Linked DNA regions of Mus musculus. The protein of the gene in region 1 interacts with the protein of each later gene in a pairwise test. Links are inferred from orthologs where the notes say so. Each region holds a gene or a part of one and is shown on either strand. Other genes may lie near its edges.

Evidence for each region.
Region 2: the proteins of Ccdc136 (region 1) and Mos interact in binary tests that used the Homo sapiens proteins (3 or more experiments, as listed by UniProt). The two-hybrid records come from large-scale screens. The link is inferred for Mus musculus from reciprocal best matches to the Homo sapiens genes CCDC136 and MOS.
Region 3: the proteins of Ccdc136 (region 1) and Nebl interact in a two-hybrid assay, tested with the Homo sapiens proteins (2 studies listed by BioGRID and IntAct). The two-hybrid records come from large-scale screens. The link is inferred for Mus musculus from reciprocal best matches to the Homo sapiens genes CCDC136 and NEBL.
Region 4: the proteins of Ccdc136 (region 1) and Usp2 interact in binary tests that used the Homo sapiens proteins (3 or more experiments, as listed by UniProt). The two-hybrid records come from large-scale screens. The link is inferred for Mus musculus from reciprocal best matches to the Homo sapiens genes CCDC136 and USP2.
Region 5: the proteins of Ccdc136 (region 1) and Jmy interact in binary tests that used the Homo sapiens proteins (3 or more experiments, as listed by UniProt). The two-hybrid records come from large-scale screens. The link is inferred for Mus musculus from reciprocal best matches to the Homo sapiens genes CCDC136 and JMY.
Region 6: the proteins of Ccdc136 (region 1) and Disc1 interact in a two-hybrid assay, tested with the Homo sapiens proteins (2 studies listed by BioGRID and IntAct). The link is inferred for Mus musculus from reciprocal best matches to the Homo sapiens genes CCDC136 and DISC1.
Region 7: the proteins of Ccdc136 (region 1) and Kat5 interact in binary tests that used the Homo sapiens proteins (3 or more experiments, as listed by UniProt). The two-hybrid records come from large-scale screens. The link is inferred for Mus musculus from reciprocal best matches to the Homo sapiens genes CCDC136 and KAT5.

Annotation. Positions count from the first base shown.
Region 1 is NC_000072.6:29,417,075-29,420,574, reverse strand, and holds part of Ccdc136 (coiled-coil domain-containing protein 136), read right to left. Parts: coding exon 2,997-3,500; intron 2,644-2,996; coding exon 2,422-2,643; intron 1,474-2,421; coding exon 1,192-1,473; intron 589-1,191; coding exon 310-588; exon of another isoform or gene 1-309. UniProt on the Homo sapiens protein: May play a role in acrosome formation in spermatogenesis and in fertilization.
Region 2 is NC_000070.6:3,870,158-3,873,585, forward strand, and holds Mos (proto-oncogene serine/threonine-protein kinase mos), read right to left. Parts: upstream 1,949-3,428; 5' UTR 1,658-1,948; coding exon 626-1,657; 3' UTR 501-625; downstream 1-500.
Region 3 is NC_000068.7:17,460,057-17,464,123, reverse strand, and holds the start of Nebl (nebulette), read left to right. Parts: upstream 1-1,267; 5' UTR 1,268-1,457; intron 1,458-3,578; 5' UTR 3,579-3,585; coding exon 3,586-3,666; intron 3,667-3,767; coding exon 3,768-3,839; intron 3,840-4,067. UniProt on the Homo sapiens protein: Binds to actin and plays an important role in the assembly of the Z-disk. May functionally link sarcomeric actin to the desmin intermediate filaments in the heart muscle sarcomeres.
Region 4 is NC_000075.6:44,073,521-44,077,020, reverse strand, and holds part of Usp2 (ubiquitin carboxyl-terminal hydrolase 2), read right to left. Parts: intron 1,656-3,500; 5' UTR 1,615-1,655; coding exon 799-1,614; intron 1-798. UniProt on the Homo sapiens protein: Hydrolase that deubiquitinates polyubiquitinated target proteins such as MDM2, MDM4 and CCND1. Isoform 1 and isoform 4 possess both ubiquitin-specific peptidase and isopeptidase activities.
Region 5 is NC_000079.6:93,497,009-93,500,994, forward strand, and holds the start of Jmy (junction-mediating and -regulatory protein), read right to left. Parts: upstream 2,801-3,986; 5' UTR 2,299-2,800; coding exon 1,294-2,298; intron 1-1,293. UniProt on the Homo sapiens protein: Acts both as a nuclear p53/TP53-cofactor and a cytoplasmic regulator of actin dynamics depending on conditions. In nucleus, acts as a cofactor that increases p53/TP53 response via its interaction with p300/EP300.
Region 6 is NC_000074.6:125,052,695-125,056,994, reverse strand, and holds the start of Disc1 (disrupted in schizophrenia 1 homolog), read right to left. Parts: upstream 2,801-4,300; 5' UTR 2,766-2,800; coding exon 2,711-2,765; intron 1-2,710. UniProt on the Homo sapiens protein: Involved in the regulation of multiple aspects of embryonic and adult neurogenesis. Required for neural progenitor proliferation in the ventrical/subventrical zone during embryonic brain development and in the adult dentate gyrus of the hippocampus.
Region 7 is NC_000085.6:5,607,295-5,611,585, forward strand, and holds the start of Kat5 (histone acetyltransferase KAT5), read right to left. Parts: upstream 2,801-4,291; 5' UTR 2,736-2,800; coding exon 2,724-2,735; coding exon of another isoform or gene 2,625-2,723; coding exon 2,558-2,624; intron 2,451-2,557; exon of another isoform or gene 2,238-2,450; coding exon 2,169-2,237; intron 2,079-2,168; coding exon 1,942-2,078; intron 1,691-1,941; coding exon of another isoform or gene 1,664-1,690; coding exon 1,508-1,663; intron 1,419-1,507; coding exon 1,344-1,418; intron 1,036-1,343; coding exon 961-1,035; intron 671-960; coding exon 422-670; intron 347-421; coding exon 257-346; intron 1-256. UniProt on the Homo sapiens protein: Catalytic subunit of the NuA4 histone acetyltransferase complex, a multiprotein complex involved in transcriptional activation of select genes principally by acetylation of nucleosomal histones H2A and H4.

The DNA.
Region 1 (3,500 bases):
GAGGGATGAGGGGACATTGCTGATACAGACAGGTGACTGAGTGCTACAGTGTAAGTGAAAGGACACATGACCTCCACCTTGGTTCTGAGAAAAGGCAGTCATTGTACAATGGCTCTAGCAACTTAATTTAAGCCTGCCATTTTCTTCAGAAAGACTGCCCTCTCCAATCCCTTCCCCATTCCCTTGTCCAACAGATGTTCACTGGCCTCTATCTTGTATTGGTGCATCCACGGTGGGGCCACTCCTGAACACCAGAGCACCCGAGCCCCAGGCTCATTCCCACTTGGTCTAGCCTTCTGCTGTGGTTACCTTTTTGCTCTCAGAAAGCTTAAGGGGGTTGCCTTCCTCGGCAGCCTCACAAGATTCATCCTCCCCTTCTCTGTACTCTTCAAAGTTTTCCTCCTCATCTTCTGTCGGCTCAGGCTCTGCCCTAGGATCTGCTGCTGGATTAGTAGCTAGTTTACACAAGTCTTTCTTGGCTTTTTTCTCTCTTTCTTTCTTTCTTGCCTCTTCGATCTCTTTTTCTTCTTTCATTAGCTCATCTAATCTCCTCTGGCTGGCCTTGTAGTATAGCATCACCTCCAGATTCTGCAGGGTGGAGGCAGGGTAGGGTGGGGCTGCTGTTACCTAAATGAATCTTACCCTCCAGACAGGGCTATATTACCTCCAGAAAGCTCTACTTATATCACATCAGAGTCCCATTGTGCAAGACTGTATTTTGGAACTACAAACTAATCTTTTCAAGAGTAATGTGGAGGACAGTCACACTTAGTTTGTTAAGCTAGCAATCAGATCTAACCATGAGGCCATTTCAAGCGGATAACCATAATCCAAGACTCTTGGACTTTGGTCCTCAATGGCTGCTTCCTCCCTTTCTGGTCATTCTTACCACAGCCAATCCTCTTGCACACATAAATCCCTCTCTCTCCATCTAGCTGATCTTTCATTGTGTAATGATGGGCTTTGACCATGAAACCCAGGAATAACAGGGGTCCCAGAGATGGACTTAGGCTAGTGAAAGCAACTGGTGGGCATTCTCCCCAAAGCACCCAGGAAAGTGGCCAATTGCTTACATAGTTGGAACTCTTGTATTAGCAGTACTAAAAGTATACCTCCTCACAGTGCCTTTGTTTCTTCCCAGGGCCTCCTCCACCCGCCGGGGCCTCTCTGGCTTCTAAGGCTCCAACTCACCTTTTCATTCTCAAAACCGTTCTCCAAATCCTCTGAGCACGCCATGCTCAGCTTCTTATTTCTAACTCCATTGGCATTCTTGTTCATATTCTTATTGACATTCTTGCCCCTGGCTTCTGAGCTAATAGAGGGCCTGTTTTCTTTGAGCTGGCGGAGTTCTTCCTGGCAGCACTGCAGCTGCCCCTCCAGCTGCTCCTGCACGGCCAGAAGCCGCCCCTGCTCATCCATGCTAGCCTGGTACTGCAGCTGCAGCTCCCGCAGCTTAGTTTGCAGTTCTTTGATCTGTTGGTAGTGGGACTCCAGTTATCCACAGCACAGCAGTCCCACCCAGTCAGCCCAGGACTTTCTTAGGAAACCACTCTCTCACAGATCTCCCTGCTAAAGCTCACAAGGAAGTGGACAATAAGAAGTTCAAGTAGGCAATGAAACCTAAGAGGCTTCACAGATAGCTCCCCCACCCCAAGTTGAAATACCTGAAGATCTGCATCTAGAATGATAAAAATTATTATTAAGTTAAAAATATTGATGTTATGTTTTTTGATCGTGACCTGTCAAGGGAATAACTACATGAGTGCCTGCCGCCACTTCTGAAGCTCAGGCATTATTATCATCTAATTTTCCTTCCAGGAACTCCCACTTCACCCACTCCACTCCTTTGTTAGTTACTAGGGAACTGCTGAGAACACCTGGTAGTAGTACATGTGGCACCTGCAACCCCGTCCTGGTAACATACGAAGTTAAACCTGTCCCCTAATCTCAGGCTTGCCTTCCTGGGCTGATGGCAGCACATGGTTCACTTAGTAAGTACTAATCAGCATAGGTCTGTGTGGCCATCACTCTCTGCATATGTTCTATCTCTCCCAAACACACATACAGTGATTCTCCCATTGGACGGTGAACCATGGCTGGTCAGAGCCCTGTCCTCAGAGTGCATATAATCTAGTTGGGGAAAAAAGACAATGGACTTAAAATAATGAAAAAATATTGGCAAGTTAAAAAAAAAATACAGCTCCATACAAGTGCTCTGGGGTACAAAGTAAAAGACAGAATAGAAGCAGCGAGGGGAGAGAGCATCGTCACGAAAGTAGCCTGGAATTACCAGTAAGTCACAGGACAGTGAGCACTGGAGGGTCCTTCACCTGACAATGCCCATCAGATGCTGCAGACTGCCGGCCCCTCACCCCCACGCCCCGTTCTCTAAGGTGGCTCTCTGGCACTGGCAACTGTTACCTCGCACTTGTCACTCTGGGGAGGCAGGGGCTTCCCCAGGCTCTCCATGCACTCCCTCAGCTCCTTCTCGCAGCACTGCAGCTCCTCTGTGAGCTCCTTCTGCTTGGCCAGCAGCCTGTGCATCCGTTGCTGCAGCTGGCAGTGCTCTTCCTGGCTCACTTGGTACAGGGCCTTCACTGCCTGCAACTTGGTCAGCACCTTGGCCACTGTTTCCTCAAAGTGCTGCAGAGAGTGGGGGATTGATGACAGCACCCCAAGAAGCCCTTGATCTCTGTCCTACACTCTACACCTCTGGCCCTTTCCTGGAGCTGCCTGGGGGTGGGGCGGGGGGACCATACTTCCTCCCATAAAGAACATCCTGACTATGTTCAAAGTCCTGAACCTCGGGGTCTTTGTGCAAACCAGGACACGTCTGTCAGGAGTAAGAGGAAGCAGGACAGTCACTAGCAGAAGTCTTCCATACTCCGAGCCTGCTCTGCCCCTGCTCCTATCTCATTCATATGCCCTTCCCCTGGTGCTGTTTCTTTCAGAGGAACCCACCTTCCCTGCCTGACCAATAACCTGGCAATGGTTACCTCCAAGTCTTCAGGCTCAGCTGGGTCCTCATCAGTACTGCTGCTGGCATAGCTCCTGTGAAGGGTCTCACCACTACTGACAGAGCCATAACTCTTCTTATAGCTCACACTTGTGCTGCTGGAGCAGTAACTCTTCTCAAAGGCCTCGTTGGCACTGGTGCTACTGTCATAGCTCTTGAGGAAGGTTTCAGTGCTGGGCTGGGAGCTCACATAACTCTTCTGATAGCCCTCATTTTCATCAATGGAGCTCTCGTAACTCCTGTGGAAGTTCTCAGTGCTGGGGGCCCTGCTGCCTGAGTTCTTCCCGCAGTACTCAAAACTCCTTTTTATCATGGGGGACTGAGTTTGGAGCACCTGCATTTCTTCCATGCAGAGCTGTAGCTCAGCCTGCAGCCTCTTCCGCTCCTCCATGAGCCGCCCATGCTCCCGCTGCAGTACCTCCTGCTGTTTCTGACTGGTGTCATATAGCACCTGCAGAGCCTGCAGCTGGTCCATAAGCACCTT
Region 2 (3,428 bases), on another chromosome or scaffold:
ATGTTCTTTACCAGTAACTAAGTTTTCAACCCCAGGACAAATGGCTGAAGTGCCTATTTAACACAACAAAGTGGACCTGGTGCCAGGTTCTCCCTGCATCCCTCAATCCCTATCAGTACAGGGTGGTCCTGGCTGGCATGCCCTTCTTCCCCAGCTGTCCTTCCCTGTATAATCCATTTAGTTACTTCTCCTCTTTTGGGCTGCTACACCTGATTCTCCTCTCTTCCTTCTCCCTTCCCCTCCTACCTCTTCTCACATGGCTCAGAGTCAGGTCCATGTCCTATGTCTCCCTTTTATTCACGATAAACTTTGTTCTTCATACCTAGGAGCAGGGATGTCCTCTCCTCCCACCATCACCCCCATTCTTTTTTTCATCCAGGAACAAACCTTACTACAGAAATGATACAGTAGGGCCAGGAACCCCAAAACGGCTTAGTTTACCAGCAGCGATGCCCATGAGATCTGTGGCCCCGTTATGCTTAGGAAAAGCACTTCAGGCTGAAGTTCGTGGTAACTTTATTTCCTAAAAATATGCCCTAGTGGTATGTTTTCTTCCACACCATCCTTACTTCTTTAAAAAAATAAACAGAGACAAAAAGCTTATCTCTACATCGGCTCGATGGAGTCAGCCTAGTGCCCCTCGGAAAGCCTTGAGGTCCCTTTGGAGCAGTTCTGCACCCGGCCTCTGCAGGGCGCGGGCCTCCCAGCAGCTCTGGATGATGTTCTGCAGTGTCTTTCCAGTCAGGGAGGCGGTGAACACCGCCCCTGCCAGTGAGGGGCGCAGATTGTAGGCAACCACTGCATACTGCACGTACTGAGGTTCGCCGGAGTAAGGCACCTCCCTGGTGGTCATCTGCCACAGGGTGATTCCAAAAGAGTAGATGTCAGCTTTGGGCGTGGCAATCTCTCCTTTCAGGATCTCCGGAGCTTGGTGCGTGTACGTGCCCCCTATGTGGTGAGGGGACGCCTGCCGGCACCGCAGATCCTGCAGCTTCTGGGAGCAGCCGAAGTCACTGATCTTACAAACGTCTTGCTCACTGATCAAAATGTTCGCTGGCTTCAGGTCCAAGTGCAAAATGCTTTGTGAGTGGAGAAAAAGCAGGCCGTTAACAACATCTAGGGAATACTTGAGGCACTTCCCCAAACTCAGTTGTTCTCTGCAGCTGAGAGGCTCCGGTGAGCGGGTGGCACCGTAGATGACTTGGTGTAGAGTCACGTTGCCCCCAAACTCCATGATTATGGTACCTAGGCTGTTGGAGTCTTCGGGCGTGCGCGTGCTGGCAGCCACAACCCGAACTATGTTGTCGTGGCGTAGTCTTGCAATGTTCAGTTCAGCCCAGAAACTCCGCTGGGATGCACGTAGGTCCTTGGTGCACTTGTTTACTTGCTTGATGGCCACAGGAACACCGTGGTAAGTGGCTTTATACACCGAGCCAAACCCTCCAGAGCCCAGCCTATGCATCAGACATACCTGTTCCCAGTCTATGGAGAACCAGGCCAGCCGGCGTGGCAGTCCGGGAGCCCGAGGAGGAGTGGTCCCCAGGAAGAGCTTCCCTGCCTTCCTCGGGGCCACCAAAGGAATGCTGCAGGACCGCGAGTCCACCGATGGCGACAGCTCACGAGGGAGGTAGCGACACAGGCTTAGAGGCGAAGGCATTACACCCTCAGATGGGACAGTCACATGAGACACTAGGGAGAAATGAGTAGGAACAGCCAGGGAAGTTTGGGAGCATGGCTGAAGATTGCTGCCTTCATCCCAGTTCCTTTCCCTTCTTCCTTGATTCTCAAAACCAGCCACATCTGTGCTATCACTACTCCACAAGGTGTTTCTTTTTTAAAAAATAAGTCAGGTGGGGTTGGGGGTGCAGATGAAGCCTGGCAGTCTCAGATGAAACGATTGCTCACAGCTAAAGTGAATCCTTAGCAACTTCTTCCCCCGTTAAACAGTACTGGCCTGCCCAAAAGTTCACGTCACCTTCCAACTAATTCTTCAATCACAATACAATGGAAGAAAAAAAAAATCAAGTACATTCTGATGATCATTAATCAGTCCTTCGACTGAAGAGAAAAAAAAAGTACAGTGAACTTGGTGCACACTTTTCAGGCTATAATGATTGTTAGTGCTAGTCTCCAGCTGCATTAAATCACTCCCAGCAGCTATTGGCTGCAAGAGTTGCAATACAAACAGCAGACATTTGTTGAACTACTTGCCAGGGTTATTAGATGCAACCTTTGTAAGAATTAACATCTGTAACTTTAATGTCTTTGATCCAAATACAATCACTTATAGAAGTCAGATCACATACCTTTTACGTTCATCAGAAGGGAGCATTCTGACACTGTATTTGATTTAAACAGCAAGTTAAGACTCTGTAACATAACAACACAGTGACCTCCCAATATCCCTTTCCAAGGCAAGTTAAGCCACCCCATGAGTGTGAGTTTGCTTCAAGACAGATTCTAGACTTCACAGAAAGCAAGTTCCTGGAATTTAATGCAGAGTTGGAGGAAGGAAGAAAGGAACAAAGGTGATTGTGATGACCACGGCTGTAAATATCAGCAAGCGTGGGAAAACAGAGGAAAAGTCAGGAGAAATAGACATGGCTCAGAATCACTGGTACCCATCTATAATATGGAAAAGCAGATGCTGAACACAAATTCAGGGTCTGGCCATCAAACCACACATTCCTCCTTTTTTGTTTTATAAAAATGCGCTCAGTTTTATGCTATATCTCTGGGAGAATGGGGAAGAGCCTTGCTCTGTTTATTCAAAAACGTTTCTCAAAGTGGCTAGGAGTTATTCCTCTTAGCTGCTTGGTAAGGTGTTTTATGCATACAGGTGATAAGTGATCACTTTTCATGTGACAGCTGTGTCCCTTTGACTTCAGAATCACAGGTTTTGAGAAGACAATAAAGGAGAGACATATAAACAACTCAAAGTTCACCAAACTCCAGGTTTCTACTTGATGGTATGATATGATTTAGTCTGCCATCTTGTACATAGTATATAATTGTTAGCACCTCAATGCTTTATGTAAGAAATTAGAATAATTAAAGTAAACATTTTTCGGGAATAAAAGTTGAGTAGCTTTGAACATATTAAGAGAACAAAATATTAAAAATGTAAGCCATGGAATATTTTAATAGAAGCCCCATTCTGTGCACGCATATCAAACCCAAATAAAAAAGGAAAATAGTAAGCAGGACAAAATTTAAAAGCACTGAAATTATACTGCAAATTTGCTCAGCAATCACAAAGATAAGATTATAGTTCAGGACTGTGAATTGTGGACTTCAGGAGCATAAGAGTAATAGGTTGCCTTAAACCTCTGGGTATCACACAAAATACATTACAATGTGATTTATTACTTTGTAATTTTTAATTTTAAGACAACCTCATAAATAATTCACTTCTAAAGTTGTCTAGT
Region 3 (4,067 bases), on another chromosome or scaffold:
GCCCAATAAGAAAATGGGGTTTAAAGGCTTATATACCCCTTCATATTATATCTTCATATGGGAGAAAGTATTGAGTCAAGATGGAGGCAATTTTAGGGAAGAATAAATGATTTACTGGGGGAGGGGGTGGTGAGATATAGACTCAGAAAGACAACAGACTGAGACAAAGTTTGTTTCGGCTTTGGGTGTTTGGTTTCCTCTTCTTGGTTGATGAAATAACATGGTAGAAGCCCACTATGTTCGCTTTTGGTAGAAGCAGCCTTTGTGTAAATAAAGAATTTTCAAAGAAGAGCTCTTTCCAGATTCTGCTGATTCCCCAGTGTCTGTAATCTAAAGCATCCCATGGTCTGAGGCATCATATTTTCTGGTATCTCCCATCTCAGCTCAGAACTCAATTGTAATTTATGATAATACAACATTAAACTTACACTAGGATTTACGAAAAAGGATAGGTATTTTTGAAACGTAATAACTGCCCACTAAGGACCCTTTTCTAACAAATTCCCCAAGTCAGAGTTTATACCTATTGACAGAAAAGCTTGACTGATAAAATCAGGGCTTAAAAAATATAGAGGAAATTTGACATGACTTTTATACTATCTTCTTATGCAAATGAAAAGAAGACACACTAAATCAAAAGTAATGGTGTATGTGGCTTGCCAGAAAGTCCATTAAAGAGTTCACTCAGCAAGTTTTGAGGTGATTTTTTTCCTGCCAGGGTATGTGCTACTTACTACTGGATCTCCTTATCCTGGTGTAGAACCAGCATAACAACATCAGTGTGTACTAAGCAGGCATCAGTGTGTACTAAGCAGTTCCTATCACACTGTTTTGCAAAGGAAGCAAATAGTTCACTGTTCTTAGCCTTCTGTTTGTCCTCTCTGAAGGAAAGCATTCTAAGTGAGGGTTTGTGATGGTTGTCAGCACTGGGGCCCAACAGAAGGCCTTGCATAGAAGCAAGCAAACTTGGTAATAAGCCAGCTGTGTTCCTAGCCATCTTTTTATGTTTATTTAAGACATGGTCTTGCTAAGTTGTCCAGGTTGGGATGAAGCTCTCTCTGTAGCTTGGGCTGGGCTTGAAGTTGTGATTGCTTTGCTCCCATCTCCTAAATTGGCTGGAAATGCAAGCTTTAAAGATTTTAGTAATGTGACTTTAAAATTCTGATTCTGACCTCTTAAAAGAAAAAATATGTTCATATTATGTGTGGTGTTTGGTGTGTCTTTGAAACTTTTGTGCATTAAAGGTTAACTGATTATTTTATTGCAGCCCAGCGAAGAACCATTAAGAACTCACAGCAAGATTGAAGATGAGAAGAAATCCTGCTTAAGCCTCAGGCACGCCATTCACTATGGAAACAGACATCACCCAAAGCAACATGAGCATTGTCATCTGAAGTGGAAGCTAAGAGGTTCATCTTGGACAGCGTTGGGATATTTTTTCCTATGTACTTCTGAAGGTTTGCAAGAAAAGTTTTTAGAAATTATTCCTCCGTAGAAAGCATTTCCTTCCTGAAGGTAGCACAGAGGAGCCTCTACAGAAGCAAAAGACAGCCTTAGGGAGAGGACATGAGGGAAACTTATAGATTGCAAATTCTCCTTACAGGACAAGTTTATAACAAACGAAAAGAATTCCAGTAGACGTGAGGGACGACATGGCTGTTATCTCAAAGTTTCCCAATTTAGCATTCCGGGGACAGTTCCTTTCTGGCATTTTGCTGGTTAAGTGGGGTCTGTGATACCCTTAATTTGACCTCTATTCAAAACTGTTTAATGAGAAAGCCAGCAAATCATGAAGAAGTTAGTCAGACGTAACAATGTTTTCCTAAGTCACATTTCACAGAGGGCACTGGATGCCATTAAGAGACAATAGTAGGCAGAATAGATGTGGAAACAGGAGGCAGACAGGATTCTTCTTTTAGAAGGGAAAGATTTAGTAAGTTGGGTAGGGCTTTTGATTGACGGTCATCACAGGTCTCTGCATGTGTCACTGTGGTGTGTAACACTCATCCTGACAACTATAGAAATTTCTTTATAGGTTTCTTGAAGAGATTTGTTTTAGGTCATTGTTTTTTGCCTTATCAACCTTTTTTTGTGGTACAGTTTTGCCTTTTGGAAAAGCATGTGAGAAACAGTATGGTTTTTGATGGATGTTCAGAATTCGAATGACTTATTAGATAAGGCTGGGGCATTTTTCTTTTAAAAACTGATAAGGACGTGTACAGAGATAGATATTCAATAGTTAAGACTATATAAAATGTAACATGAAACTAGCTCCACAACTTCAGAATCACTATTCTACCTTCATAGATGTTCAATGGGATATATAGACATTAGATCTTCTTAACTTCAGGGTGTTTTTTTAAATTAAAAATATTTTACAAGTTATTAAAAATAAATTGAAAACAAGATGATATCAAAATATATTTGGCTATGTAGGAATGAAGTATTATTTTGGATAAAGCTCTATTTTATGTAATTAATTTAATTAGTCACCATGGGGTGTTTTTCTAACACTGATCACTGATATGCAATACTTTTATAAAAAGCAATTTTACCTTAAAATTTAAACAGCCAAATTAACACATCAGGAATGAGAGATTCTTAGAATTGCTTAAATCGACAATAAAGGATTTATTTAGAAGAGTTTTCTTAATTATTGAACTAGTAAGATAGTCTACACAACAAATATGGTAATGTAATTTCTTAGTTTTCCAAGTGTGGGATACAGTGAGACTATAAAAGATACTAGTGAGTTAGTGAAAATTCACACAATGACAAAAATGCAGAGCATAATTATTTCCAATGCAGCGATGTTTCCTGAAGTCTTAAATAATATATCAACATATATTAACTTCAACTTCTCATGTTTAATGATGTTTACGATTAATATGGTACAGTATTCCCTAATTTGAGATTAGCAGTTGTAATTAACTCAGAATAGATTCTTTGAAGTGGTTCAAAGGGCTTTTTGTAATAAATTATTAGCCTCTAATCAGCTAATATGAAGTGAGTAGTTTTGGGGGATGTGAGAAGTACACTAAAACCTCATAAAACATTTAATTTAAGTTAATGAAATAAATTTGTATGGTACGGAGTCTCTATATGGAAACAGAATGACTGACATTCCAGAGGAGGCTTTATTTAGACCAAGTTGAGATATCTTTGGGATAAAGGCTTTAGGCCGGTGCTATCTTAGGTGTTATAGCTGAGTAGATTTCTAGAATTGTCAAGTCCCTTTAAAACAATTTTTAAAATTAATTGATTAATTGATTTAAAATTCATTAGTAGAAGATAAAAAAAAACCATTTTGTCTTGGGTTTCCTATGCTATCCTAAGAATGTTGATTTTAAGTTTGTAAAGTTGAGCTTTGACTTAGGAGAGAGTTTTCACTTGTGAGGCTGGGCCTGGCAGACCCTGAGGCTCCTGGGTGTTCACTGACACACCATTGAGATAAGGAGTGACATGAGCCAGGGATAAAGTCTGGCAAGCCTTTGCTTCCAGTGCCCCAGAGACTTGGTAGCTCACGGGTGTGGTAGTTCCTGAGAAGACACAGTTTGAAAGCATTAATATCTTCATAGGGTAAAGATGAAGGTACCTGTATCCGGGGATGTAAAAGAGGAAACTGAGGAGGAAAATGTGGAGCAGGAAGAAAACCAGGAAGCCAAGGTGAGCAAGAAAGAACTCACTTAAGCACAGAACTCTGTCCTTTAACAGATAAGGGAAAATCAGACCTTCTCCCTCCCTCTTTCTTTTTAATTTTCACATAGGTGTCTCTGAAACCTGTTATTGAAGACCTCAGCATGGAACTGGCCAGAAAGTGCACCGAGCTCATTAGTGACGTAAGTGGCTTTAAAGACTTTTATCTTATTTGCTTCCTTTACGTGGAATGGCTGTGTTGTAGAGTCATGGGGCTGGAGAGAAAACTCCCGAGGTTACCAGTTAGAGCACTGTCATTTTCTAGATCATAGAACTAAGTCCAGACATGTTAGGTGATTTCACCAAGGTCATATAGACAGTGATTGTCTAATGGAATAATTGTCCTCATTCCTAATCCAGATTCTGTCTCT
Region 4 (3,500 bases), on another chromosome or scaffold:
CTGAGCCCCGAGTTGCCAGAGGCACAGGGGAAGGAGTAGAGATACAATCACTTTAAATCTCCAAGAGCTCGCCACCTATTGGACACACGGATAACTACAGGAGAGGAGAGGAGTCACTGCCCCAGGGAGGCGTGTTCAGGGATTAGATGTGAGGGAGACCATGCCAGCCCTTGGTTAATCTCCAACAGAGCCTCTCCCCTCATTCCAGCCCAGGCAAGCTGGAGCACTGAGGTATTAGATCATCTCTATCTCTGGACAAAAGACTCTACACTATTTTCTCCAAAGATACAAACCTATTCTCCAGATACCCTGAACTTAAGCTGCCGGCATCAGGGGAAGAGTCCTGCTACTCCTAATATCTCATGCCTGGACAGGAAGAGAACCATCCAGAGCAGGGATCGGGGTGGGAGGATGGCTCTCTCTCCACAGGTAACATGGTGATCACACTTCTACTGTGGCATCCAGCCCTGGATGGACCAGAGCCCACAGGGGAAGACCCTGACATTTTGGATGGGAGATCAGAGAATGAGAAGAACAGCAGACAGGGGGGGCTGAACCTCCTAGAGCACCTTTGGATCATTCCCACGTGTGTAGGTCTCTGAAGCACGGGCCAGCCCCTTCCCCATGGCTCTGAGCCATGGAGCCACCAAGTCATGCTTTGATCATCGTGGAAGATGATCTCTGCTGCTTGTCCGCCACCAATCGTCAGTCAGGTTGGGAGTTCTGTTCCTAGCCTGGCTCTTTGTAACACGGGGCTGTCTCCCCAGTCCCTCACTGGATCCCCAAGAGTAAACTCACCATGGTGTCTCGCCCTGGAGAACTGGAGCGGCTGGGCCCAGAGGCCTGGCCCTTGCTCTTCTCCCACAGTGTGTAACGGCCACTTGGTCGGTAGGTGGGACTGAGGACTTCAGGGACTCGGGAGGGAGGAGGGGCTTGCGTGAGCACCTGTGGTGCACTGCCCTTTCGACCATAGTTCTCCAGATAGTCTGTTAGGTACTCAGAACGGCTGGCTGCTTGGTAGAGGCCCTGCAGGGCACAGAGCTCCTTACGCGTGCGGGCCAGCATGGGGCTGCGACCCAGGTTTCCAGGGTCTATCCTAAAGCCCTCTGAGGTCCGGTAGCCATCTGAAGTCCGGTAGCCATCTGAAGTCCGGAGGCTGGAGAAATCCCGGGCCAGGTCTGATTGGCTGTTCGATTTCTTCTGGCTCAGGGTCACCCCCTGGTCTCTGGCATTCATGGGCAGGTAGCTGAGGGAGTTGCTGGAAACTCCATAAGAAAATCCACTGCCTCCGTTGAGTCCACTGCCCGAGGGCCTTTCATTGCCACGGGTCTGGCTCTCTGACCGCTTACTACTCCCAATGATGTCAGATCTCAGCAGGGGGCGGCCCCTGTCACAGTCCAGAATGGAGGAGGGGCCGTAGGTGCGGGGCCGTGGGAGGAAGCTGGTGGGGGAGACCGGCTTGAAACCAAGTTTTTCCTTCTCCAGGAAGGAGGCGGCCAGGTTGGCCCCATAGGAAGAAGGGGTGTAGGTGCCATAGCCCGGTTTGGCATAGGGGGCATCTGTGTAGCGGGACGATTCTGTATAGCGCTTCAGGGTGGAGGAGAGCTGGGACATCCTTCAGGGTGGTACTCAGTGGGTACTGGGAGCCTCATGGGCTGAAAGACAAGGAAAGCAGCTGTCAAGGGCTCTGCGAAGCACCAGGCCCATCCTGTGCTCATTCTTTATGCCAGCTGGGCCAGGACCTTAGGGCTCAACAGGGACCACTTGGGGCCTGCCTATAATAGGCTGGCTAGCTCCAGAGAAACACACATGCAAACAGGTATGTATATGGGTGGGTGTACCCATGTACCCACAAGAACAACCAGCAAAAGGCACAGCCTCTCCACTTCCCCAGCCCTCTACATCAGAGACTCCAGCTGAATCTCATGTGGGTCTTCTTGTAAGTCTCGGCAGGAACTTTTAGAGTTGGCAAGGGCTGGAGACTGGGGGATCCTACCACCCTCAGTGCATAGACTGGGGGACAATGAGCACTTTGAGTTATGAATGCTTCTCTGCCTTTGGCAAGCAGTTCTACCTTCAGGTATAAAATGCTCCCTCCACCCCCCGGAAATGTCTGGAAGACTGTGAGGAAGAGGAGGGTCTCAGGAAAGGAAGTGATGGCGGGAGATGGGAGGGAATGTCTAGCAGAAGGGCTGGACCCTGGTCTCCAGACCTCCCTTGGTACTCTTCCTTGGACACAGGTACCTGCTTGGTCACACAGGGGACCACACCAGGAACGCTGGTGAGGTAGAACCTGTCTATTCTCTTCCTGGAGTTTGGCTTTGTCTTCCCAGTGGAGCTTAGGAACCTACGGCCTCCTAGGAGGTTTCAGGACCCACGCAGGGGCCAAACTGATCCTGGAGTTACTTGACTTGTGCAAGAGGCGCCCCCTAGAGTCAAGATCCTGTACTGTAGACTGCAGACACTCCCAGACTTCAGGGTTTTGTAGATTAATCCCTGAATGTGGAGGTTGGATAGTCCTAAAGGCCATGTATTGATTAACCTATTGTACAGATACGGGCATGATGCCTGCTTGTCCAAGTTCACCTGCTCTGGAGAGTCAGGATTGGAACCCAGGTCGTGGCCCCGCACCCTTTCCCACCAGCCTTGCTTCTACCATTCCTCAGCAGAGTTGGGCAGCTCTGAAGACTCCTAGAACCCCTCCACCATGTGGCAAGAGGGGAGAAGGTGCTTTGGAGAAAGGGGCACAGAGGACCAGGCTCCTTTCTTCAGGGACTCTTAAGTGGGGGTGGGGTGGGGTGGGGCTCAGGGTGGGGTGGAGGTCTGGAGACCTATCCAGGAATCTCAAGAGTAGCATACGATTTAAAAAATCTCTCTCGGGCTGGAGAGATGGCTAAGCGGTTAAGAGCACTGACTGTTCTTCCAGAGGTCCTGAGTTCAATTCCCAGCAACCACATGGTGGCTGACAGCATCTGTAATGGGATCTGATGCCCTCTTCTGGTGTGTCTGAAGACAATGACAGTGTACTCATAAATAAAATAAATCTTAAAAAAATAAAATAAAAATCTCTCTCCTCCTCCATGTGTGCGTGTGCATGTGTGTGTGAACACCACACACACACACACACACACACACACACACACACACACACGACACAGACATGAAAGTCAGAGGATAACTGGTAGGAGTCAGCTCTATCTTTCCACCATGCATGTTTGGGGGTTTGCCTGTTGGTTAGGTTAGGTTTGGTGGCAAGTGATTTTACTTGCTGAGCCATCTCACTGGCCCCAGGGCTGGTTTTGACTCTCTCTGAGACAGACCAGTTGAGCAGTTACACTAGCCGTTGAACCTCTTTGAGCCCCGATTTCCTCCCTGTAAAGTTGCCTAATAACATCAGGATTCCTATCTCGCAGGGTTGTTGTGAGGACTGAGATAATAACACGGGAAAGCGCTTAACAATGACCGGCTATTATCTTCTCTCCTAGCCAGCCCAGCCAGGC
Region 5 (3,986 bases), on another chromosome or scaffold:
CAAAAAGATTATCAAAGTCTCCAGGAAGTGAGCTAGTAAAGGGAGAAATGAAAACAGGTTCCTGAACTCTAGGAAGCTCCACATGATGCCTACCATCCAGTAACCCAGAGAAGTGTAGTCCTTCAAGACAGCTTGTGACTAGGTGCTTCTGGCTGTCCTGGAACTCCCTATTCACACCAGGCTGGCCTTGAACACACAAAGATCCACATGCCCGAGTGCTGGGATTAAAGATGTGAGCTAGAGTGAAGAGTCTTGATAGAGGAAGTTGTAAATGTATGCATAGTGTATGGTGTAAGTGAGAAATAATAGTCTAGCAAAGTCAAACACCAAATATTCTAGTAAGAAACTAAGAACATTCCAGGTTCCTGGCCTAATATCAGTTAAATATACATACAAATGACAGCAATTCAGGAATAAAAACTCCATGAAACAGAGCTTCTCTCCATCCCAAGTTCAAGCACAAAATACTGTGACATTAAAACAAATTGCTTTGAAAAATTGTATATTGCCCATTAGAAGTCACCTTATTAAATTACACTTTTTAGTACATTTCTACAGAAGAGGCATGACTATAAACACACACTGAAGAGCTCACTACGTATAGCCTTTATTTCCTGTTATTTAAAGACTCAAGAAGTATGTTAAAGTGTTCACACTACATATAAAAGCTCAAAGCATTCCTGCCCTTGACCTACCTTCTCCCTAAAACAGGAGTGAAACTTGAGCCATCTGTAAAGACTTCATAGTCTAAAATCTTACTTATGTCAATTCTCATTTGGTCAAGTCAACACACTTTTTAAAAAATAAATTTAGGGCTGGGTGTAGTTCAGTGGTACACTTTGAGCACCGCAAAACGCTGAAAAGTAAAATTTCATACTTACCTATGTTGCCAGAGCACACAAGGCAAACAAAAGCAGATCAACTTTGATCGGTAAGACAACAATTTTCAGTACATAAACATGACACCCTGAAAGAAGAGCTAATGTCTGGGCAAGCTACTTTAGGGGGAGAGTAACATTCATTTAGTTTAAGATTACAGAATACCTGTTTTTCTAAATGCTTTTATCTCTACCTGTATTTTTAGTAAACTGGGTACTTTTTGGAGGGGTAAAAAAACTCAAAACTTCCCAAAGATCCATCGCTGAGATAAGTAAAGAAAGCCGATCAGGAGCCCTCCTGTTCTTCCTTTTCCCGCGGCTAGAAAAGAAGACACTTCGCAGACCCCAAACCCAGGCTCCAACACTTGGCAGTGAGACGTGAAAACTAGGACCGCTGCTCGGACTCCGCACTCACCTCCTGGATGCGCCTCCTGGCCCGCTGAAGCACCTCTTCATAGCCCTTCTGCCGCAGCTCGCTGAGGCTTTCGTAATACTCCTCCGGATCATCCGTCTCGGTGAAAAGAACCTGAGAAAGGATCTTCCAGCCACACGTGTCCAGGCCGTGGCCCAGGTATACCTGGAGTTGGTAACATAGAGCGTCGATCTCCTGCTCGGTCATCTCGGGGGCGCCCCCAAACAGCACCGTCCACATGCCTGACGGCTCTTCGGGGAACACCGGCAGACACGGCTCCAGCTGGGAGTTTACCGAGCACAGCTGCTGATGCACGGCTCGCAGATCCTGGAAGGAGAAAAGCCCGGCCCAGCTGCATTCTTCGGCCGGAGACTCCAGCTCCGCGGCAGACGGCGGCTGCTCCGAGTCCGGGAGCGGCTGTGGCGCCTCGTCCTCCCTCACCATTTCCAGGACCTCGATCTCCTCGGAGACCGCCCCGGAGGCACTCACCACCCGCACCGACGACACCGGGGGCACCGGGGGCGCCGGCGGGGCTGGCGTGGCACTGGCGGTCGCATCTCGGGATTCGGCGCTTCTGCGGAGCGGGCTGGCCTTAGCCCGCGCGGGGCTACGGAGAGGACTCTCCGGTCCTCTGCCCGCGGGACCCCGAGGAGGATCCCCCTTCAGGCTGCGCGCGCTGCGCGGAGAGCCGCCCTCGGCCCAGGCCTGGCTTTTCCGTGGCCCGGGACTCCGGAGCGCTGCTGTAGCAGAGGCAGCGGCCTCTGACCGACCCCTGGCCGCGGGGCTGCCCGGACCGCGACTCCCATCAGACGCGGGCGTCCCCGCCTGTTCCCGGGAACCGCTCCTCTGTCTCTGGGCCGTCCGGTTGTGACAGGTTATAGCAAACTTGCCTTCGATCTCGTTCCAGGCCACAATGAACACAAACTTGTGCTTCTCGCGCTCGTCGAATACGTGGGGCCGCACCGCCACCCAGTCGGACTCGAGTGTCTCCTCCAGCGCGAACGACATGGTAGCTCCGGTGCCCGGCGAGGGGGGTCGCCCGCCCGGCCGAGTCTCCGCGGTGGCCGCGCCCCCAGCTCACCCTTGCGGGGCGCCTGCAGCCATCTTAGCGCGCCGGCCGCTCACCCACCGGCTCCTTTGTGGTGCGGCTCTCAGAAGAGACAATACGCGGCCCGGAGCAGGTAGTTCACATGGTCACGTGCGGCCGGATCTGTTTACAAGCCGCTCGCTGCCGCAGCGCAGGGCCCTGGGCCGCCGGACCGGCCTGCGCGGAGCCGCGGGGCTGCGTGCTGAGGCGCGCGTCCGCCGCTCGCCCGCCGGGGCCTACCTCCCCGCCGCCCCTCTGCCCCCGGCCAACAGCGCCCAGCCAGCCAGAACCAGAACCAGAAAGCAGACTCCTAAAGCGCTAGTCTCAGCGTCGCCACAATGTTGCCATTCGGCTGTGACGTCTGCGGCTCCACGAGGGACGTAAACACGGGCACGTGCGGCACGCTGCTGACGCGGCGGCGGCAGCAGCGGCAACGGGAGCGGCGGCGCGCGTCCCGCCCGCCCGGCGGCGCCCCGCCCCCCTCCGCGTCCCTCCAGCCGCGCCTGCGCGCCGCCGCGTTCCTGGCCCCAGCCCTGCCCCCTTTTTCCCGGCCCGGAGTCTGTGGCTGCGGGATGACGCTTTTCTGCAAGATGAGAGACTGGTGTGCCCGGCCGCACAGGTTGCTTTGAACCCCCGGCAAGAGGAGCAAAGGCAGAGGGACTCTGAGACTTTGTTCAAGGACCTTGATGTAGCCCTCCTTCACCCTAAGTGAATCTGGATCGCCAACTGTGTTCAGACGCGTCCTAAACAGTCCGGGAACTCTGCCTTGCTTTACAAGGCTAAGCCAAAGGGTTCCATTCTCCCCTGACATCCTTCAGACACAATTTAAGTTAGACATGTATGCAAAACAACTCAGGAGAATACGAAAACAGTAGGAAAATTCAGTCACGTCCTAAAGAGCGTGAACATTTGTCTCAATTTATCCTTCTTTTATTGCTTCGGCTTTCCTCGTTGTGTACTGTTCTGAGAATCTCTTTGGGCAGTCACTGCACTAAAGTTTTGACATTGTATTCAGTTATCAGAGTTCCCAGAAAGCACAAACAAAAAGTTTTTATCAGCCTGGCAAGGCAGTGCATAACTATAATCCCAACACTTGGTGAGTAGAGGCAACCAGATATGGTAATTCAAGGCCAGCAGGGGCTACAAAAGACCTTGTTTCAAAAACCAGCCAGAAAAATCCAATTATTCATACTAAATTGTGTTGAAACATTCCTAATATTGTCTAGTAGGTTTATAATCCACTTTATATTATTGGCGTCATCTTTCCTGTCAGTGTCTAAGGCATCAAGCAGGCACTAATGTATAATAGGAATTAGTTCTTTTACTTTAAGCCACATTTCTAAAACGTGTGAAAATCATCTGAGTCACCCTCACGTTGTCAGCTACACACAGTTTTGTATTGGCCTGACATCTAAATTGATAGTCAAAAGTTTTAGACCTATCTCTTGGCTGAACTTTTTTTTTTGTTTTGGTTTTGGTTTTTTGGAGACAGGGTTTCTCTGTGTAGCCCTGGCTGTCCTGGAACTCACTTTGTAGACCAGGCTGGCCTCGGACTAAGATATCTGCCTGTCTCTGCCTCCCAAGTGCTGGGATTAAAGGCGTGTGCCAC
Region 6 (4,300 bases), on another chromosome or scaffold:
GATAGATAGATACATAGATAGATACATAGATAGATAGATAGATAGATGATTGATAGATAGGTAGGTAGATAATTGATAGAAGATAGACAGACAGATTGATGGATAAATGATAGATAGGTAATAGATGATTGATAGATGCTGAAGATAGATGATAGAGACAGAAGATATACAGATAGATGATTGATAGATAGAAGATAGATAGATAGATAGATAGATGATAGATAGATAGATAGATAGATGATTGATAGATAGGTAGGTAGGTAGATAATTGATAGATGATAGATAGACAGACAGATAGGTTGATGGATAGATGATAGATAGATAAATAGATAGATAGATGATTGATAGATTGATAGATAGGTAGGTAGATAATTGATAGAAGATAGATAGACAGATTGATAGATAAATGATAGATAGGTAATAAATGATTGATAGATAGATGCTGAAGATAGGTGATAGAGACAGAAGATATACAGATAGATGATTGATAGATAGGTAGGTAGATGATAGATAGATAGATGATAGATAGATAGATAGATAGATAGATGATAGATAGATGATAGATAGATGATAGATAGATAGATAGATGATAGATAGATAGATAGATACATAGACAGATACATAGATAGATAGATAGATAGATGATTGATAGATAGGTAGGTAGATAATTGATAGAAGATAGACAGACAGATTGATGGATAAATGATAGATAGGTAATAGATGATTGATAGATGCTGAAGATAGATGATAGAGACAGAAGATATACAGATAGATGATTGATAGATAGAAGATAGATAGATAGATAGATAGATAGATGATAGATAGATAGATAGATAGATAGATAGATAGATAGATAGATAGATAGATAGATAGATAGATGAAGATAGGTATAAACGGCAGAAACAGAAGACCAGGTATTACCTTTGACCAGGCAAAGGTCCACGCTCAGCCTGGGCTCCACCTGACACCTTCCCTTCAGCCTGTAATTGGAGACACCTGCATCTGACTTTGAGCCCCAGTCCCTGTTTAACCACCAGGGCCACAGGCAGGTGACTCCAACCCTTGCCACATCCAAGGGAAGATGAGGATGGTAGCACCAGCCCCTCACCGGTGTGAGGGGGACCTCATCAAAGGGCAGGACCAAGTGCCTGGCCCATGCACTCTCTGCAAAGTGGCACCTGTCGCCTGTAGGCTGTCACCTGCCCCAGTTCCAGATGTTCTGCTCTCCATCCCAGGGCAGCACTCTCAGGGCTAAGGTAATAATTACAGCCCAGGTGCTTTCTCTTTCTTATAAACAGAAGAGAAAGCCCGAGACTTGGAGAGACAGCTCAGAAAGCAGGTTTCTCATCCAGGGCTCTATTTGCTGTGGGCAGAATCCTGGCTAAACCTCAACGGTCTCCATGTCAGGTGCCAAATGTCTTTTCAAATACCCTGTAACTCAGACACTAACATGTCACACTGGCATTCCTGTATTGCCCACGATTATTTAGGTCTTGCATGGTCAAAATAATACTTAAGGACCCGTGCGTAGTGGAGCACACCTGTAATCCCAGCACTTGGGAGGCAAAGGCTAGCAAATTGGAGGCCAGCCTGGGCTAGGCAGCAGATTTAAGGCTAGCCTGGGCAACTAAGAGATTTTTGAGAATTTGCTTTGTATCGCAGAGATTTGGCCAGGGGTTTCATGTCCTCCTACCACATTAAACCCCTTTTAAAATCTACCACGTAGGCAGGAAAATCAGCTCCATTTTACAAATTGAAAAACTAAGGCATTCCCGAGTCCAGGATGCGGGTGCAGAAGACTCTTACCCTACACCCACCTACCAACCCTGTATTTTCCAACTCCCAATTGCAAAAATGTCTTCATAGAAGCCAGTTAAGGAGGTAGGGAAGCTAGTGATTAGTGCTCCTTTCACAGATGGGTAAACTGAGGCTCCAAGAGCCAAAAGAAGCTCCTAAGTCCTTTGCCTTCTCTCCTTGGCACAGCACACGCCCAAACTGCAAAGCCCAGTCTGGAGCAGATCTCCGTGCTTGTTTTATTTTTCATTGTTCTGATTTGATTTTGGTTTTTGAGATAGAGTCTCACTATTGTAGCCCAGATTGTATTAGAAAGTCTCCACAGTCTTCCTGTCTCTCGAGTGCTAGGAAAAGAGGCGTGTGCCATCACGTTCTTTTCTTGGGGTTTCTGACAGTGAGTTGCTGAGGTTGAAAAGCGGCCACCCACTTAACTCGATGTCATCACCGGGGTTGGTACGTGGCCCAAGCTGACAGAGGAAATGGAGCGGGTCCCCTCAGCCTGCGCTGCCCTGCGCGTCACAGTCCACACTCGGAAGTGGGCGGCGAGCAGCCCCACGGGAGGTGCGGGCTGCAGTTCCCACACCTCTCTCAACCTCGCCCCGCGTCCCCGCAGCGTCTGCGCCGGCCACCCGAGGGAGTCCTGGGATCGAGCTGCACTTGGGCGCTGCGGAAACCTTCGCGGCCACCGGGACCTCGCAAGGAAGGAGTGCGGGCGCGCCCTTCGCCGACTGCGCCTCAGGGCGGCCGGACTCTCGGGACGGGGACGCGCTTGGACGGGAGCTGCAGTGGGAGCTGGGGACACGACCGCCCGCACCCTGCACTCCCCGCTCACTGCCTCGATTTCCCTCCCCTGCATCAGGGTGCGCCCGGATCTCGGCAGGCCTCGTTCGCCCTCCTCCAGAACCCCGGGCCCTACCTGCGCCGTGGCTCGGACTGTGGATCGGAGCGCCCCGGGGACCCCCGCCCTGCATCGTGCGGCCGGCTGCGCCCCGGACGGCGGTGACTGTGGTGGTGATGGTGGTAGCGGCGGCCGCGGAGGCGGCGGGAAACGGGCAGGGGGCCGAGCCGAGGGCTGGCTTCTTCCTCCTGCCCAGGACCGCCGCTTCCTCTCCAGCCTCGGCCCCTCGCTAGCGCGCGCGCGCCGCCCCTCGCGGCTCCCAGACCGCAGCGCAGAAAGTTTTGCTTTTCACTTGGAGGAAACCAAGGAGGGGAAGTGTGATGGGGCAGTGTGGCCAGGGACCGAAAGACTGGGCGCTTCCCAGACCCTGGGAGTAAAAGGCGGGGTGGTCAAGAGAGGGACTTCTTCCTACCAAGTCGCGGTGAAGCCGAAGGAAAGTGACAGATGACAGGTCGGGGGGGGTGGGAGCAGCTGTTAAAAATGACTTGAGAATCGAATCTCTGGCAGCACGGGGCTGGCCAGGAGCACGGCACAAGCCTTGGCTTGTGCCAAGCTCCTGGCAGCTGGCTCACCTCCCCCATCCCTTCCCTTTGGCTGCTTCAGCAAAGCACCTGCTACAGGACAGTGGGTACAGGAAGTGCCAGTCAGGGGTTAGGCCCGTCATAACCTCGCCTCTGGACCCCGAGGCAAAAATAAACCTACAAAACTGAACTGCATGGAGTCAGCCGGAGACCTGACTGTGGGTGGAGCATGGGGCAGTGGGAAGAAGCCTGGGAGAGTGCGTGCTGGAAGGGAGGAGCCTGTGGCCCTAGAAAAAAGACCAGGTGCTGGAAAGGTGGGCCAGAGCAGTTGCCTCTTACCAGGAACCTTCGGGTAAGCACGGGCGGATGCGGCTGAAGTTGATAAAGACATGAGCAGAGTCAGGATTTAGTGCAGTGGGTAGGGTAACAGGGTTGAAAAAGGCACTGTGTTGGTATCCTAGTTTGCTTTACCTGTCAGTGTGACATAGCCTAGGGTCCTGTGAGCAGAGAGCTTTAGTCCATGATTACCTAGATCAGATTGGCCCGTATCGCGTCTGTAAGAAAGGTCTGGACAGTTAACTGGCCTTCGAAGGCCCAGCCCACTGTGGGCGGCACCATTACCTAGGTTTCGAACTATCCAAGAAAGCTAAGTGAGCTGAAGCCCATCTACGAGCCAGCTGGCAAACAGCGTCCTCTGTGGTTCCTGCTATACCTGATTGGCAGTGAAGTGAGCTCTCCATTGGAGGTTAATGCTGTGTGCTATAGCAAGCAGGCCTGCCTTAGGTTCCTGCCTTGACTCCCCTCAGTGATGGCCTGCGATCGATCTGAAGTGGTCAGCTAAAACGAATGGAACGCCTCTCCTCCTCAGGAGGCACTCCGTAGTAAATACAGTTGAATTGGCCAGCCTGCCATAAACACTCTCAGGTCTACCTGACTCACTCCCGAGGATAACTAGGCATACCTCTGAATATATAACATAAACTGTCTTAAAACAGGGGCTGGAAAGCTGGCCCAACAGTTCAGAGCACATAGCATTCTTGCAGAGGATCAGAGTTCAGTTTCACAGCATCTATCCTGAGTAGCTCAC
Region 7 (4,291 bases), on another chromosome or scaffold:
ATGACAGCTTCCTGTGAACTGTGCTGAACCCCCTCTGTTACTGGAACCTGAGTAGCTGTCATGTCTGCTCTGCCGTGACAGTGACCTCTCAGGAAAGAAAATTTCTCTAAATCCCAGTTTTCTGTACATTCCCTGCTCCGTGTCAAGAATTCAATAAAAACAGTGACCTGCTCATAGGCAGAATGGTCAACTGTTCTGAGCAGGAAAAGGTTGTTCATGTGACTCACTCCAGCCCAGCCGTGCCCAAGCCACTAACCTTGTTTTTCCGTCCATCAATCTCAAAAAAGGAGATGGTGCCCTTGCGGTAAATTTCATTGCCTGGAGGGTGCCGAAGATCACATTTGGTCTAAGGACAAAAGGAGGATCAGGTGGGGACTGGTGAGGGTACTCTGGATAGGCAGCCTCCCAAGACCCCTCATACCAAGTGGCGTTGCAGACACTTGAGGCTACGGCCATATTTGAGGCAAAATTCGCACAGGTAGAGGACGGGTAGCGTGGTAAGCTCTTGTGGGTACGGGGAGAAGTACCACGGCTTGAGGCGGTGCCGGCCAAGCTCAATACACTCAATGTTCTTCATCCGGGTGACAATGTCGTCGTGGCTCCGGTCAGACACCAGACTGCCAGTCATTCGTGGTGCTGACGGTATTCCATCTGAGCTGTCCTGAGAATCCTGCCCAAGGCAGATGGCAAATACTAGATGGTAGCAGTTAAGCAGAGCGTGGCGCACGACACTGCCATTGGCTTCTTCCTGCAAGTCTAACATCAGCTAAGGGCAAAGCACCAACCTCCACTTCCAAAATAAAGCGAGGCTGAGAAACTGAGAGTAGAAGAGGCCCAGGGGTTCATCTGCTTGGCTCCCAGCCACCACCCTCCCTGCCTAAGGCCTCACCGAGTGAACACCATGCCCAAGCCCACTCCCCCTTTCCCGGCTTCCCTCTCCCTCTGCTCCTCAAGACCCACCTCATCAGTGCCCAAGCAATTAGATTTCCGCTTCCGTCCAGGCTGGGCTGCCACTGCCCTACGGGCTGACCCATTCTGTGGACAAGACACAAGAGAAAGAGCGACCGTGAGATGATCCTGGAGGAGGATGCTAGACAGCAAGGAATAAGAGGGGAAAGACCAGGCAGGCTGTTGGGATGGCTCAGTGGTTAAGAGCCCTGATCTTCCAGAGGACTTCCTGGGTTCTTTTCCCAGGACCCACAGAGTGGCTCACAACCATCTCTAACTCCAGTTTCAGTGGCTCCAATGCCCTCTTCTGCCCACCTGCACCAGGCATGCAAGTAGAACACATGCAAAACACAGACAAAACATTCAGACACATGAAAAAAGACTGGAAGACTCACCTGAGGGAAAACCGAGGCTGGGGCTGTCTCGCTGGGCACTGGGGTTGCTGGTGAAACCACCTCCACCTTCCGTTTCTGCAGAGAGAAACCAGGAAAGGTGGGTCAGAAGGTAGAGAAGGTGGGACCTGAGAAGAAAGCAAGGTCCCTGGAATTGCTGAGGGTACCGTTGAGCGGTGGTTGGGTTGCAGGCAGGAGCTGGAGGAGAGCGGCTGGTCAGGCTCGCCACCTGGGATGGCCTCCCGCTCCTTGGGCAGGTTGAAGCGGAGTGTGATCTGGACCGGGATTGGCAAGGTCTTCCCGCTGGCCTGGGCGGAGGCCGGCTGCAGAGATAGGTCCAGGGTCTTCCTCTGGGGTGGGGATGGTGGTGGGATGGCGAAGGGGGGGATGGGCCCCTCAGCATGGAATCCCACCCTCTGCCTTCTCTAAAGCAAGGCAGTGCTGGACTCTGGAAGCTACGCCTGCAACTTGGTCCCCATCCTTTGCAAGCTGAAGCCATGGCAGAAGAATGCTGCCTCCTGCCCATTCAGGAACCCCTGAGGCCAAGAGATGCAAGAAGGAAGAGGCAGGAGAGAAAAGATGAAATGGGGGACCTACTCACCACCTCTCTTTCGGGAGAGCCGGGGCGGGACCCAGGAAGTCCGTTCTTGGTAGGTGTCTTGGCCTCTTTCTTGGGAAATTGGATCTTCTTTAAGTCCAGCCGCTCGTGAGTCACCCATTCATCCAGACGTTTGTTGACTGCAGCAGTGAAAACGGCTCAGGAGGGAATGCCAGAGGCTGCCCTCAACCCTCTCCAGCAACCCCACTCCATCCAGGCCCAGGACTCACAGTCAATGTAATGGACATAGAAAAGCTTTCGGCCACTGATGTCCTTCACGCTCAGGATCTCAGCCAGGGCTATGAGAACCACACAGACAGGGAGTCTTAGCCAGGGCAGGTCAGGAGACTCCACCCTTCGACCTGAATCCCACCTCCAGGCTGGAGGCCTGTGTCCCAGCACTCAGAGGGGCTGGTTCAAGACCCCTTTAGTCACCAAGTGACACCTCTCTCCAAGCCCCGCCCGGATCATCTCCGTACGTCCAAAAGCCACGCCCCTCCTCCCGAGTATCTGCGACCGCCCCGGGATTGCAGAAGCCCCTCCCCCTCCCGTGCGATCGTTGACTCCCTCCCGCCCCTCGCCCTCAGGTTCCTTGGACCCGCCCCCCGACGTCACTCACGCCACTCATCTTCGTTGTCCTGGTTGCGCCGCAGCACGGGCAGGCGGCAGCCCTCGATTATCTCCCCCTGGGGAGACAGCGCGGCGCCAGGGTCGGCTACTGGGGGGCCTCGGGCTCTACCCACCTCCCCTGGCTCCCTCCGCCCCGCCCCGGGCACCGGACTCACCACCTCCGCCATCTTCCCTCCCTCCACTGCCACTTCCGGCCCCTCTGGGAGACGTCACTTCCGGAGCTGAGTGCGCTATAGGCCCGAGCCCCTTGAAGCTGTTTGAAAGGGAAACACTTGAGAATCACTGCTAGCTGGTTGGTAGCAAAAAGCCGGCCCGTTTGGGGAATGGAAGAGCAGGACGTTGTAAACCTGAGGCCAAGTACTAGATGGAATCCCCGCTCCTCGCACAGCGATTGGAGGAACGCCGAGTCTGTCACGTGACGCCCACCGGGTGCGACGCCGGTCACTCAGATCATGTTTAGGCTTTGTCTAGAGGCAGTGTTCTGGCGAGCCTCTTAGTGGCAGTGTGAGGTGTCACCCTGAGTAAGAAGCTAAGGAGTGGGGTTTTGAACCCTGGGGAGTCAGTAGACCTGAAGGGATTTAGAGATCCACCCAGGTGTCTGCATAAGATTGCACAGGCCTGGGGGCTTAGCAAGATTTTTCCGTTAATACTGGATTTCTATTTTTAAAATAGTATATATGTGGCTGTATACATGGAAGGTTCAAAATTCCAGTAGGCATTCAGTCAACAAGAATGGATGTCTCAGTTGGTCTTCATTATACATCAGAATCCCAAAGAAGTAGGCGCTAATGACAGTGAAGGAGCGGACTTGTCAACGAGAGTGAGAGCAAGTAGGCAGAGTAAAAGCAGGCTGGCAGTGGAGGCAGAAGCAGGCGAAGCTCTATGAGTTGAGGCCAGCGTTGTCTACAGAGTCAGTTCCAGGACAAGCGGGGTTACACAGATAAGCCCTGTCCTGGGGGTGGCAGGGAGGAAAATCTTGTTTCATGTCTTTCTTTTAGTTTCCAGCAGAAGGTGCATCTTCTGACTTTGAATAACAAGAATAGGTTTGAATAACAAAGGTGTGTTCTCCCTCCTCAAAGATGTGAATTCAAAGTGGATCTTCCACCAAGCCAGCTTGCCAGCACTGGGGAGGCAGAGGCAGGCCTGGTCTACAGAGCAAGTTCCAAGACACCCAGGGCTACACTGAGAAATCCTCTTAAAAACACAAAGCAGTGGGTTTTCCCACTTCAGAGTAGGCAAAATTGTTCACGTATGTGTTCTTCCATTTTTGGGTTTTAGTGAAATCCAGATGTAGTCAAATGGACAACCAAAAATAACTATCACAGATATTGATAACATGCCTAAAGGGTGTAGTGGGGCCCTTTAGCCTTACTTCTAAGTGTTCCCAGTTTAAATGGTTTCGGGTCCATTTGGCCACTTTGAGAAGAGTTTATGTGCAGAAGTAAAGGATTGGTTTCATCACAGGAGCATTAATAATAACACTTGGATTTGATCTGTGTGCAAAATATGTTCAGCATAAGAAGTACTGAAAAGCCAATAGGCCTTTTGTTATTGTTTGTTCTGAGGTGAAGTCTCACTGTGTAGCCCTGCTTGGCCTGGGACTTGTCACAAGGATGACAACAGGCATATGACAGCACACGGCATTTTTCTCTCTTGTGAGTTCTGAGTTGTGCCATCTTTCAGAACATCCAGTCTTCCCCTGAGGAACTGAAGCATCACCACT